Sus scrofa: one gene and its partners. The protein of the gene in region 3 interacts with the protein of the main gene of each other region in a pairwise test. Links are inferred from orthologs where the notes say so. Each region holds a gene or a part of one and is shown on either strand. Other genes may lie near its edges.

What was found.
Region 1: the proteins of SRC (region 3) and VDR interact in a two-hybrid assay, tested with the Homo sapiens proteins (2 studies listed by BioGRID). The link is inferred for Sus scrofa from reciprocal best matches to the Homo sapiens genes SRC and VDR.
Region 2: the proteins of SRC (region 3) and RARA interact in a two-hybrid assay, tested with the Homo sapiens proteins (2 studies listed by BioGRID). The link is inferred for Sus scrofa from reciprocal best matches to the Homo sapiens genes SRC and RARA.

The regions. Positions count from the first base shown.
Region 1 is NC_010447.5:78,217,954-78,221,594, forward strand, and holds part of VDR (vitamin D3 receptor), read right to left. Parts: intron 2,817-3,641; coding exon 2,632-2,816; intron 2,251-2,631; coding exon 2,130-2,250; intron 1-2,129.
Region 2 is NC_010454.4:22,082,879-22,086,996, reverse strand, and holds the start of RARA (retinoic acid receptor alpha), read left to right. Parts: upstream 1-1,237; 5' UTR 1,238-1,494; intron 1,495-4,118. UniProt on the Homo sapiens protein: Receptor for retinoic acid. Retinoic acid receptors bind as heterodimers to their target response elements in response to their ligands, all-trans or 9-cis retinoic acid, and regulate gene expression in various biological processes.
Region 3 is NC_010459.5:40,469,645-40,473,905, forward strand, and holds the start of SRC (proto-oncogene tyrosine-protein kinase Src), read left to right. Parts: upstream 1-1,344; 5' UTR 1,345-1,693; intron 1,694-4,261. UniProt on the Homo sapiens protein: Non-receptor protein tyrosine kinase which is activated following engagement of many different classes of cellular receptors including immune response receptors, integrins and other adhesion receptors, receptor protein tyrosine kinases, G protein-coupled receptors as well as cytokine receptors.

The DNA of each region.
Region 1 (3,641 bases), on a different chromosome or scaffold from region 3:
AGGGATTGAATCTGAGCCTCAGGTGCAGCCATGCTGGACCCTTTAACCCACTGTGCCAGTTCACACCTCTGCAAGCCGCTGCAGTTGGATTCATAACCCACTGTGCCACAGCAGGAACTCCACAAGTTCCTTTCAATGTTGATACCAGTATTTGTAAAGATGCAGGGAATCAGGCAATCCTTGTGCAGTGCTGGTGTACTAAAGGAGGCATAAATTTGTGTAAGTAATCTGGAAAGTTATTGGACCATGAGGGTCCAAAGCCTACAACTATGTACACACTATGACCAGTAATCCTACTTCCATGAATTCAGCACAAGGAAAAGTTCAGAGCAAGTGCAAATATTTAGCCACCAGCATGCTGTTCACTTAATAACAAGCTGGGAAAAAGAAAAATCCACGTATCCAAGGAGAGGAGATTTAGATATGTTATTGTACATTATACTGCAGAATACTAAGCAGTCTTTAAAAATTATACTCTAGGCGTGTAGTGGATGGCATGAAAATATGACATAATACACTATTAAGAGAAAAAAGCAAGTTGGCAGGCTAAGTATGGCATGATTCCATTTCTGAATATACATATGTATTAAAACTTGGGAAAAAGATATATCGTAGTGTCAGTAGTGATTATTTTGGGGTGGTGTGATGAAAGATTATATAATATATGTAATCTACATAATTTAGTTTCTATTTTCTGAATGTCTATAATGAACATGTATTACCTTCATATAATAATTAAAAAAATAAAAAATGTTAATTAGTTTGAATTTTTAAATAAACATATGCTACATTGAACATACCATGGCGGAGGGGGGAGCTCCTCAAATTAACCAATGAGAGGGAGTCAAAACTTCTAAATAAAACCATTAAAAGTTGAAGTACAGACCAATGTATCACATGCAGACTGGCCCTCATTGATTAAAATGAATATACCAGCAAGTAAAAGGAGCAGGAAGGTGGGTTGAGAAAATTAACACTGGGGAGAGGTTTCTACAAGGTGAGGGGCTCAGAGGATGAGTTACCCGTGTGGTGGTAGTGCAGGTGAGTGGACATGACAACCAGCTCCTCTGCCATCTCTGTCCACCTGGTGCATGGACCCTTCCCACCTACTCTGGATCCGGGCACAGACCCATAAATGAACCGAGAAGTACCCTGTCTGAGGGTTCTAGTTCCATAGAAGGGAGGGGGCTTTTCCATTCCTGCCCTCCCACAGGCCCCAAGCAAAGGGCAGTTGGGTTGGGTGAAGGATGAAGGCAAGGGCAGCTGGTAAGGCAGGAAGATAAAGAGGAAGGCAGAAAAGGACCATAAGAAAAAAGCAAAGATGAACTAGAAGGAATAGGTCATCCAGGGCCTTACTGGCCCCCCCGGGGATTGAGGGGAAGATGGGCTGCGGTGGGATCCACATCTCCTTCCATGCCAAGTTTCACTCTGCAAAGACACAGGGTCTGATGACTGTAGTTAACAATACAGTTTATTATATTTGAAGGTTGCTAAGGGAGTACATCTCTAAGTTATCACAGAGGAGAAAAAAAAAACAACTTTGTAGGAGTTCCCTGGTGGCTCAGTGGGTTAAGGATCTGGCGTTGTCGCTACTGTAGTATGGGTTCGATCCCTGGCTCAGGAACTTGCCCTTGGCTCATGCATGGCCGAAAAGGAAATAAAATAAAAATCTTTGTAACTATGTGAGATTAACTAAACTTACTGTGGCAATCATTTTGCAATGTATACTTCTATCAAATCATTATATCGTACACCTTAAACTTACACAATGTTATGTCAGTGACATCTCAAGAAAACTGGGGAAAACAAAACCAAACACCAAACAAAAGAAAAACCCCAAAGGCCCAGGCTCAAAATACCATTTAGAGGAACCAGGTCGCTCCCAGGGAAGGAGCCAGGGGCAGAAGGCTGGCTTAGAGGAAAGCAAATTGACTCTACAGGCAGACCCCCCACCACCACCACAGCTTGGCCTCTTCCTCAGTGTCCTCAGTGTGGACCCTCGTGTGCATTAAAAAGAGGTTGTTCTGAGGACGCCGCACAGCACAGAGTGCTGCCCATCCAGCCGCAGCCAAGGTCAGGGGTCTGGGGAAGCTCCGGGCTCTTGGGGAGGGGGCGGTAGCCCCACTTACCTGGAGAGGAGGTGTATTGATCTGAGCAGGAAGAGGACGAGCTTCCGGAGAAGCTGGGCGCATGCGCGGAGGAAGACCTGGAGGGGAGGGTCCCTTCCTCCTCATCCCCGCGAACCGGAGGCTGGAAGGGAGAGGTAGAGTGTCAGAAGCTCGTATTTGGAGGCCCCCTTCCTGCCTCAGCTCTGACCTCCGACAGGATTGGTTTCACGGAGGGTCTATGGGAGGGGTCCCCAGGCTAGGGGTCGAATTGGAGCTGTAGTCACTGGCCTATGCCACAGCCACAGCAACGTGGGATCTGAGCGGCGTCTGCGACCTACACCGCAGCTCCTGAACCCACGGAGCCTGGCCAGGGATTGAACCCACGTCCTCATGGGTACGAATCAGGTTCATCACCACTGAGCCACAACGGGAACTCCCCTTCCCAGGTTTTGTGCGGGGATCCCCCTGCCCTCTAGCCCACTTGCCAGCCCTGCTCATGCTCCCGGCCAGCGGGTGGACGTACCCGGAACTGGCCGAAGTCAGCATAGGTGGGGTCATAGGTCTTGTGGTGGGCGTCCAGCAGGATGGCGATGATGCGCTGCTGCTCCTCCGACAGCTTAGGCCGCAGACTGTCCTTCAAGGCCTCCTCCTCCTTCCGCTTGAGGATCATCTCCCGCTTGCGCTGCACCTCCTCGTCCGTCAGGATGACTGTGGGGCGGGGAGGGGCGAGTCAGGGGGGCCGGGCCTGCACCGCCTCTGTGGAACCTCCCTCAGGGCGCAAAGGCACGAGGTGTGAGGGGGACGCCAAGGCCACGAGACGGATGGACCATCAGTGTTGCACGTTGAAAGGCAGGCTCGGCAGAGAGGAGGAAACAGGATGTGGGAGGTGGGACGGTGGGGAGCCTGGGATCTCAAGGACAAGGTGTCTGACTCTGGACAAACTGAACTCTGCAGGTTTTTGTTTGCTTTTTTCTAAAGTGAGACATTTGGACCATATGATCTCTCTCTTTTTTGTTTTGGGCCACTCTGTGGCATATGAGGTTCCCAGGCCAAGGATAAGGTCTGAACTGCAGCTGTGACCTACACTGCAACTGCAGCAACATGAGATCTTTTTTTTTTTTGTCTTTTCGGTTTTATTTTAGGGCTGCACCAGCGGCATGTGGAGATTCCCAGGCCAGGGGTCCAATTGGAGCTGTTATCGCCGGCCTATGCCGGAGCCACAGCAACGCCAGATCCGAGCTGTGTCTGCGACCTACACTACAGCTCATGGCAACGCCGAATCCTGAATCCACTGAGCGAGGCCAGGGATCGAACCCGCAACCTCATGGCTCCTAGTCAGATTCCTTTCCACTGTGTCACAACGGGACCTCCAATCCTTTAACCCACTGTGCAGGGCTGAGGATCTAAGTTGCATCCTGCTGCCACCGAGACGCTGCTGATCCCGTTGAGCCACAGTGGGAACGATGGAAGTTTGGACCATATGATCTCTTCCAAGTCCTTTTTTTGTTCCCTCCTTCATAAAGTGGGTGTAGG
Region 2 (4,118 bases), on a different chromosome or scaffold from region 3:
TGTCCACTCCCAGCCTCGGGTCCCTTGTCTGTAAAGCAGGGGCCGTCGGGCCGATGGGTTTGAGAGCTCTGCCAGTCGGGTCAGGCTGAGAGCCTCCTCACTGGGGTGGACGCCTGAGAGTGTGGCACTTCCCCTTCCAGTGGGAAGTCCTGTGGGGGGCACTTGTGGCCACTTCTCCGACCAGGAAAGGGGAGGGGTGTTCCCTACTGATTCCTCTTCCTCCTCCCCGCCCCCCACCCCAGTAGATGGGGAGATGGTCCTTCCAAATGGAGCCACAGGCTGGGAGGGGAATTGTGGCTCTGCTGGGGGTTGAGGTCTCCGCAGAGAGAATGATTCAGATCCTGCCCCGCTAGAACAAGAACGCGAGCTTTCCTGGCTCCTCAGCCTGGGCCAGGAAAAAGAAGCTGGAGACTGAGTCCCTTGCATGTACGAGTGCTCCTGGGCGCCCCCTACTCGGCTCTTGAAAGATCCACGAGCCGCTGTCCATTGGGGGTAAGGGAACTAGGGATCGCTGAGGGGTACGGTTGGGCCGAAGGTCCTCCGACCCACTCGAGCCGGAGAGGTTATTTGGCGGGAGAGGCGAGGAGGTGTGCCTGAGGGCCGTCTACCTGCTCTGGCACTCCTTTTTTTGCCGGTAAGAAAATTAAGATTCAGAGAAAAGAAAGAGACTTGTTCAAGGTCACACAGCTCTCAGTTCCAAGGGGTTCCTCGAGGAAGATTATAATTATGGGAGTCTAGGGGCTTGACAGCTAGGGGCGGAGTCACTGTATTCACTTCCATATTACGTTGCCGCCTCTCTAACCCCGGCTTAGGTGCCATCAGGGTGTGTGTGTGTGTGTGTGTGTAACCCCGACTTAGGTGCAAGAGGTTGTGTGTGTGTGTGTGTGTGTCTGTGTAACCCCGGCTTAGGTGCAAGAGGTGTGTGTGTGTGAGATACTTGCCCCTGTGAGTGTGGGTGTGTGTGGTCGGAGGGAAGGGAGTGTGATACCACACATTGCCGTCCCTTCTCCACTGAGCCTTCTTTCCGTTCTTCGCGCAGAACTTCTTCGCCTCCTCGCCCTGAGTCTCTCCTTTGGGGGCAGAGGGAGGGATTCTCCCAGATTCCCACGGTCCAGCTTCTGCTAGGCGCGGCTCCTTTAAGACTCACCCTTTCCCTGGGTCTATTAGGGAGAAAGGGGGGCGTGATCTTGTGGGCCCGCCCCTGGATGGTGATTGGTCTGTGGGAGGACGGGGGCGGACCGGAGGTTGAGGGCCTCCCCGCGGCTCGGTACCCTCCGCCCCCCCAGTCTGGGGCTCCGGGTAAAGTTTCAGCCTCCGCACGTGACTCGCCATGGCCGCTGCTTTCGCCCCGCGCCCCTGAGCCGCGGCCCCCCCCAACTGGTCGTCTCCCTGGACCCCGCAACCCCTGACGCGGAGCGGCTCCAAGGCGCAGGGTCAGGGCAGACGCTGTGCCCGCGGGCGACCGGGACGGATTGCGTCCCCCCCCACTGCGAGGTAACCTCTCCCCCCGGGGATTTTGGAGAGCCCCGGGCCCTCGCAGGCATCGTCGCCCCTCGGTCTGCTGCTGATAGGACCCGCGGGGTGGAAGAGACCCAGTGCCGGGCGGGTTCGGACGGCCACCTGGGGTTTCCTGGGCTTCCCAACCCGCCGCCGCCGTGCTCGGGGTGGGGGAGCCCCGTCTGTGAGTCTGTCTGCGCCCGTGTCTTCGCGCGCAGCCGTGAGGCGTCTGGGGCCGTCTGCCGCGCGTGTCTCAGGCGTCCGAGCTGTGGCAGAACCGCCGCTGGGAACTCCTGCTCTCTCTCGCTTTTTCTCTTCACAAACAAACAAAACAAAAAGATTTTCAAACCTGTTTGGGGAGAGATCAGATGCCCAACGGACTAGCCCCCTCCTTCTTTCCCTGCTGTTATCTGAGCCGCCCTGTGGTTTGGGGAGAATCAGCCCGGGGGCCCACCCCATCTGAGGCAGCCAGTTGGGAGGCGGGGCCCATTCAGCTGGTGTCCCCCGTGGAGTGCGGGGAGCCGTCAGAATTGGGTACGGGGAGCCAGTGCAGCCAGGGGAGGGATGTCTCTGGGTTTGTAGGCACCATGGGGTTGTGGAAGCTTGTGGGGGTATGAGAAGGATGGAATAGATTGGTTGTCTTGGTTCTGCCCAGGGTGTCTGGGACCTGGTGCCACCCACGAGGTGGAGAAGCTGCTAGCCAGATGTGTATGTGGGAGGGGGAAGCTGGAAAATCTGCTTGGCAGTGCCCTTTCTCCTCTCCGGGCATGGCCCTGTTGTCGGGTTGCTCTGGGGGAAGGGGGCCGTGCACTAGGCTGGAGATGAGAACCAGCTCATGTGGAAATCATACAAGAAAAGCCCCCAGTCTTGGAGACACTTGTCCACTGTCCAGCCTACCTTGGATAGCATGCCTTTGTGCTGGCGTGGAGGGGTACCCTGGGCCTCCACCAACTGCCAGCTCCCTCTTCTGTAACCAGATTGCCTTCTGCCTGGGAGACGTGTGCACATGTGTGCCTGTGTGCCTGTGTACCGTGTATGTTGTACCGTGTATGTTCTCAGGGGCCTTGTTCCTGAAAACACTCCCCCACCCCACCCCCACCCCCTGCTTCTTACCCCCAACCCTCACTTCTGCTCCTGACCGCCATCCTCCTCCAGTTTCCTGGTTAGGCGATTCAGTGAAGTCTCTTGTCCGCTTCCCTGGCTGCCTGGCTGCCGTGGTCATGGGCCGGGGTGTTTGGGGGGAAGTGGTTCAGGAAGGACACCAAGTCTTGCTAGGAAATGGGCTCAAGCCCCAGATTCTCCTCCACGGCCTTGTGCTTGATGGGGAGGCTGGGCCGGGGAAGCCCCAGGTGGCAGTGGGGGTGGCTTGGAGCATTGGGGCTTCCCCTGGGAGGGGTGGAGATGAGTCTGGGGGAGGGAACCAGAGAAAGAGTATTTGGAGCAGGAGGGAGCAGGAGGGTGGTGGTTGTGGAGTCAGGGAGTTTGTGGCTTTGAAAGATGTTGGTGCACTGGGAGGGGCGGCGAGGACCTGAGTTCTTCCTGAGTGTCTGGGCCATGTTGGTTCTGAAACAGAGCAGTCACCGTCACTGGGGTCAGACTTTCGTAGGCCTTGGGAGCTCGGGATCTTGGATTTGGAGGGACTTTGAGGGCATGAATAAATGCCCATGAGGTGGTCACCTCAGGACATTCCCTGCCAGACTGGCGAGGGTGAGACAGATGCAGTGGCAGTGCTGAGAAGAACCTGGGCTTGGAACGGCTTAATCCTGGCCACCTCCTCTTATAGCCCCTAAATCCCCATCCTTCTTGTTGACCCTAAATGCCCCTGCCTCCATCTGGGAAACCTCTCTGGACCCCCTCCTACTTGCAGCCATGTGGCAGCCTGGCAGGAAGCTAGCTGTGGGCAGCCCCATCCTGATCACCCCCATGCCTCCCCCGCCGGGCACAGTCACCCACATGTGCCATGACGTGGTTCCTGCCACCCTGTCTATTGTGGGGGAAAGGGCCTTGTCTGCATGGCCCTTCCGGTCTGTTTTGAGGGCATTGACCCAGACCCCAGTTAACTAGCTCCCCTTCCCCTAAATCCTTTGGTCTTGGAAGCTGGACCCCTTCCCCCGCAACTTCTTGCTCAGATCTGAGGGTCTTAGGTGGCGTGGTCCTCAGAACTCTGTGACAGGCTGGGGACTGCCCACAGGTAAAACCTCAGCGTCCAGTTCCCTGTCCTCTGCGTGGCCTGAGCAGGGCAGGACCTAGACGGTGCTGCATGGGTGGGTGTGTTTGGGACTCTGCCGGGTCCATTTAGGAGCACTCTCGGTCCATTTAGGAGCACTCTCGGGGACTGGGGAAGGTCGTGCTGTCCCCGTGAAGAGTAAATGGAGCAAGCAGCACTCGCCCAGCACCCCACGCCCTTGCTGGTAGTGGTGGTTTGGGGAGTGTGGGAAGTTGGCAGGGCCCCTGGCAAGACAGCCAGGATTGTCTTGACTTACTGGGTTTTTGGGAAAAGAGCGTGGCCAATGATACCCTGGTTCCCAGGGCTTTGGCTACCCGTCCTCTCGGCCGCCTGCTGTCTTTCCTCCCTCTGTTCCCCTCTCCACCCTCTGGCTGCTGTGTGGAGCCCACAGGGC
Region 3 (4,261 bases):
ATTTATTATTTGTTTATTTATTTTTTGTCTTTTGTCTTTTTAAGGCCACACCCGCGGCATGTGGAGGTTCCCAGGCTAGGGGTCTAATCGGAGCTGTTGCCGCTGGCCTAGGCCACAGCCACAGCAAGGCCAGATCTGAGCCTCATCTGCGACCAACACCACAGCTCACAGCAACGCCGGATCCCTAACCCACTGAGTGAGGCCAGGGATCAAACCTGCAACTTCGCGGTTCCTAGTAGGATTCTTTTCCGCCGAGCCACAATGGAACTCCAGATGGTGGTATTTAAAGCTGGGTTCGGGCCCTCCCTTCCCCTGTGCTGTAACGTGCGAAGAACCAAGGATACAGCACCCACCCTCAAGAGGGCAGTCCTGAAGCCAGAGGGGGAATAGGTGGTGCAGGAGGCTCTGTAGCTAAACCAGCCTTTCCTCAATGTCCCCTCCTTTCTCTGCTATACTCTCTGCCCCCTGCGTCCAGAGGTCCTCAGCCTCTTCATTTACATGGAAGTATAAGTGCCACTAAACACCTATTTCAGCCCCATCCTAAGTAGGAGTATCTGGACTGGCTGACATTGGATAGGCTGCCTTAGTTTTTTTTCTCTTCTATCCATTAAAAGGAATACATATCTATTAAAATAAACGTTACTCTTTCCCACACTGTCCTTTCTGCTCCAGTCCCCACTTTGGGAAACTCAGGTCAAGGAAACTCAGGTCAAGGCCAGGGTCCAAGGCCTATTTTTTTTTGTTTGTTTTAGGGCCACACCCGCAGCATATAGAAGTTCCCAGGCTAGGGGTCAAATTGGAGCTACAGCTGCTGGCCTACACCACAGCCGCAGCAACGCAGGATCCAAGCCCTGTCTGTGACCTATACCACAGCTCACGGCAACATCTGATCCTTAACCCACTGAGGGAGGCCAGGGATCAAGGATGCTAGACGGATTTGTTTCTGCTGCACCACAACAGGAAATCCCAAGACCTGGTTCTTGTCAGGTGATTCCCTTCTCTGTGCCTCAGTTTCTTTCTCTATAAAATAGGGATAATCTTGGGTCTGCCCAGCCCAGCTGGTTGGTACGAATAGATCATAAAGTTGACCTGAATAGCTTAGCGTGGCACCTGGCAAGGAGTGAGCACTCCATCAGTGCTGCAGTTATTATTATTACTGATAATTTCGGGAGAGGTAGATTTGGGGTAAACAGGGTAGGTGGATTGGGGGCAGTGAGGGTGGGCATTTTCGCGTGAGGGCTGATGGGTGTCCCAAAGGGTAGGGACTCTCTTGGGGCGGGGTGGGGGGCGGGGCTTCCGTGCCCGGTGCCTCCGCCCCCCATTCCCCGCCCGCCCGGACCCCAGGGTTGGGGGGCGGGGGTGGCCCGCGCCTGGGTCTATCCCAGGTCACCGGCGGGGAATCCGTCCCGGCGCGCTTCCTCCTTCCTCCTCCTCCCGGCGGCCTGCCGGGCCCCTCCTCCCTGCTCGCGCGCTCCCTCCCTCCTCTTCCCCTCCCTGAGCCGCCGCCTCCTCCTCCTCCTCCTCCTCCTCCTCCCTCTCCCTTTCTCTCTCGATCTGTCTCTCCCGGCCGGGAATCCATTCCGGCCTGGGAGCCGGAGCGGCCTGGCCGCCGTGTGCCCGAACCCTTGGCCGTCCGGAGGTCCTTCCTCCCGTGCGTCTGCCTGCCGGTGCGTCCGCCTGTCCGCTGGCCCAGGTGAGCGCCCCCCACCCCGCCGCCGGCTCCCGGTCCCCGCCCGAGTGAGGGAGCCCCTGCCCGGGGACCACCCTGGCGTCGGATCGCCGGGCCGCTGGGGCTCCTGGCCCCCCCTTTTCCCCCCACCCACCCCCGGGCCGAGCTGCGATCCAGGAGCGCTGGGCCGGCGCACGGGGACGTGCCTGGTGCGGCCTTTTGTTGTGATGCCTGGGGGTGGGGGGGAGGGGGCTCTGTGGGGGGGCGTAGGGGTCCTGTCTGCGCTGGAACCCCCTCCGGCCCACCTTACCCCTACGGGCCCCTGAGAGCCGCGAGCTGGGCCTGAGCCCCCAGGCCAGGTCTAGGCCAAATCTGAAATCTGAGCCGGTCGGCGCCGCCTCTGGCCGCGGCTGCCCGGCCTGGCGCCCCTAGCCCGGGATGGGAGGTGATGAGGGGGCGGGCGGGGTGGGCCTGGGGGCGCCCGGGAGGGAGTGCTTGGCCAGGGCACCAGGATTTTCCCGTCTTCGTGGGGCTTTGGGTAGGGCCTGGTGCTGACGGCCTGAAAGGGACTGGGCCCGACTGTGCTTGGTTCCTGCTGCCCACAGCCCCCTAGACTTGCCTCTGGGCAGGCCCAGCCGCCTGTGTGCTCAGAAGTTGGCAAAAGTTTTGGGATTTCACCACCAGGCCGGGTCCATCTGCCTGCCCGGGCTGGCATTGGTGGTGGGTTTGAGTCCCAACAGGGACCACCACTTACTTGCCTTGCTGTGTGTCCTCAGGCAACTACCTGACCTCTCTGAGCTCAGAGTCCTCATCAGGCCCAGCTTGGGCCTGGCTGGGTTTACTACTGGGCTGTTGGAAGGATGGGGTGAACAGAAGGGGCTCACCTATAGGGTATCAGTTCAGGCAGACTTGATAGTGGCAAAGCCCTTGTGTGCCCCTGGGTCAGGCCTCCCAGGCTTTAGGGACTCTGTCTCTGGGTCACTAGAGGTGAGTCCAGGCTTAGCCACAGTACAGTTGAGATCAGACTTGATCTCAAGAATGGATCTGGCTGGTCCTGTGCTGACCCTCTTCTGGCCTCCTGGCTGGGGAGACAAAACAGCTGTAGGCTTCTCATCTCATAGGTGACCTGGGCCAAGGGACCGCGCGCCTCTGAGTCCATGTGTGTGCAGTGGGCATCCTCAGGGGAAGAATCTCTGTGCTTCTGCATGTAGGGGCTCGGCATGTAATAGGTGTTCAATAAATGCACACCTTACTGGATGAATTGCCTAAAAAAAGGTGGCTGGGAGGTGAAGTTGTTGGCCCAAGTGGGGTGCATCCCCAGAAGAAGATGGATTGGGTGCCCCCGAAGCCACTCCTAAACCCTTGAGAAAGAAATAGCCCTGAGCACCATTTTGTCCCCCAGCAGCTGTGTGACCTTAGGCAGTACGTGGCTCCCGCTGGCCTCAGTTTTGTTAAGTATAAAATGGGCCAGTGATCATGATCACTGCTGACATCTTCTGAGCGCCTCCTATGAGGGAGGGACTCTCATGTAGCCTCGTTTTGCTGGTGAGAAACCGAGGCTCAGAGAGGGGAAGGGACTTGACCAGGCCCACACAGCTTGAAGCTGGAGTGAGAGCCTCGACCTCAGAATCCCTGGTCTGGCTGCCCATGCACCCTTCCGATGAGGGGGGAGCAGTGGTTTCCCAGTGTGCGAACAGGCAGAGGACAGGGCTGGAAAAGACTATACCGATGAGTGATTGTATGGAAGCCACGCGGCCCTTTTAGTGATGTGGTGATGTGTGTGCCTTGGTGATGTGGTCTTTCCACCCAGGGAAGTGATTTACAGTGTGTCACCTCTCTCAGCTGACTGCCTGCCCAGGCCCTCCTGTGCGGCCCCTGGGGCTTGGCTCCTGAAGGTGTCCCTGCTGCTGGGAGGGCCCTCTCCTCTATGAGCTGCTTATCTGCTCTTGCTCTTTAAGGCTTAGCTCAAAGCCCACCTCTCCCAGGAAGGCCGCCTGGCTTTCTCCCACCTCCCCTAGCCTTTTCCTGGAGCATGAATGATCCCCAGCTCACAGCCAGTTCCTACATTGACTTCTTCCTTGATTGTGACCTGGGATGGAGGTGTTGTCTGGCTCCCCCAAGCCCCAGGAACCGGGGGGAGATGGCTCCGTGTCCTGCTGACATCCCTTGGTCCTCACTGACCCCATTTCCCCAAATCTGCCTGATACAGGCACCGATGATGTTCTAGGAGCTTTGAACTTGGGCCGAGCAGTGTGGGGATGGGTTAGCAGTGGGAGCTGTAGGAGGCATCTGGAGGCTTCCAGGAGGCGGTGATGAGAGGAAGCAGGAGTTTGCTCAACCGAGAAGGGGAGAGCGTGCTCAGCTACTTCCCAGGGCCCCTGGGTTGTGGGGAGTGGTCAGCCTTGGGGGGGTGGGGAGTGGGGGGGTGTCCTTGCTGGGGAATTGTGGACAGGTCCCTGGCTGCCAGGAAAGTTAAGTCTGGAGGGTGAGCTAAGTAGCAAACAAGTTGCCAAATATATTAATATGTAATCACGATGTGATAAGGGCTTAGAGAGAGATGTGAGGCGCAGAGGAATCCCGAAGCATGGAGGA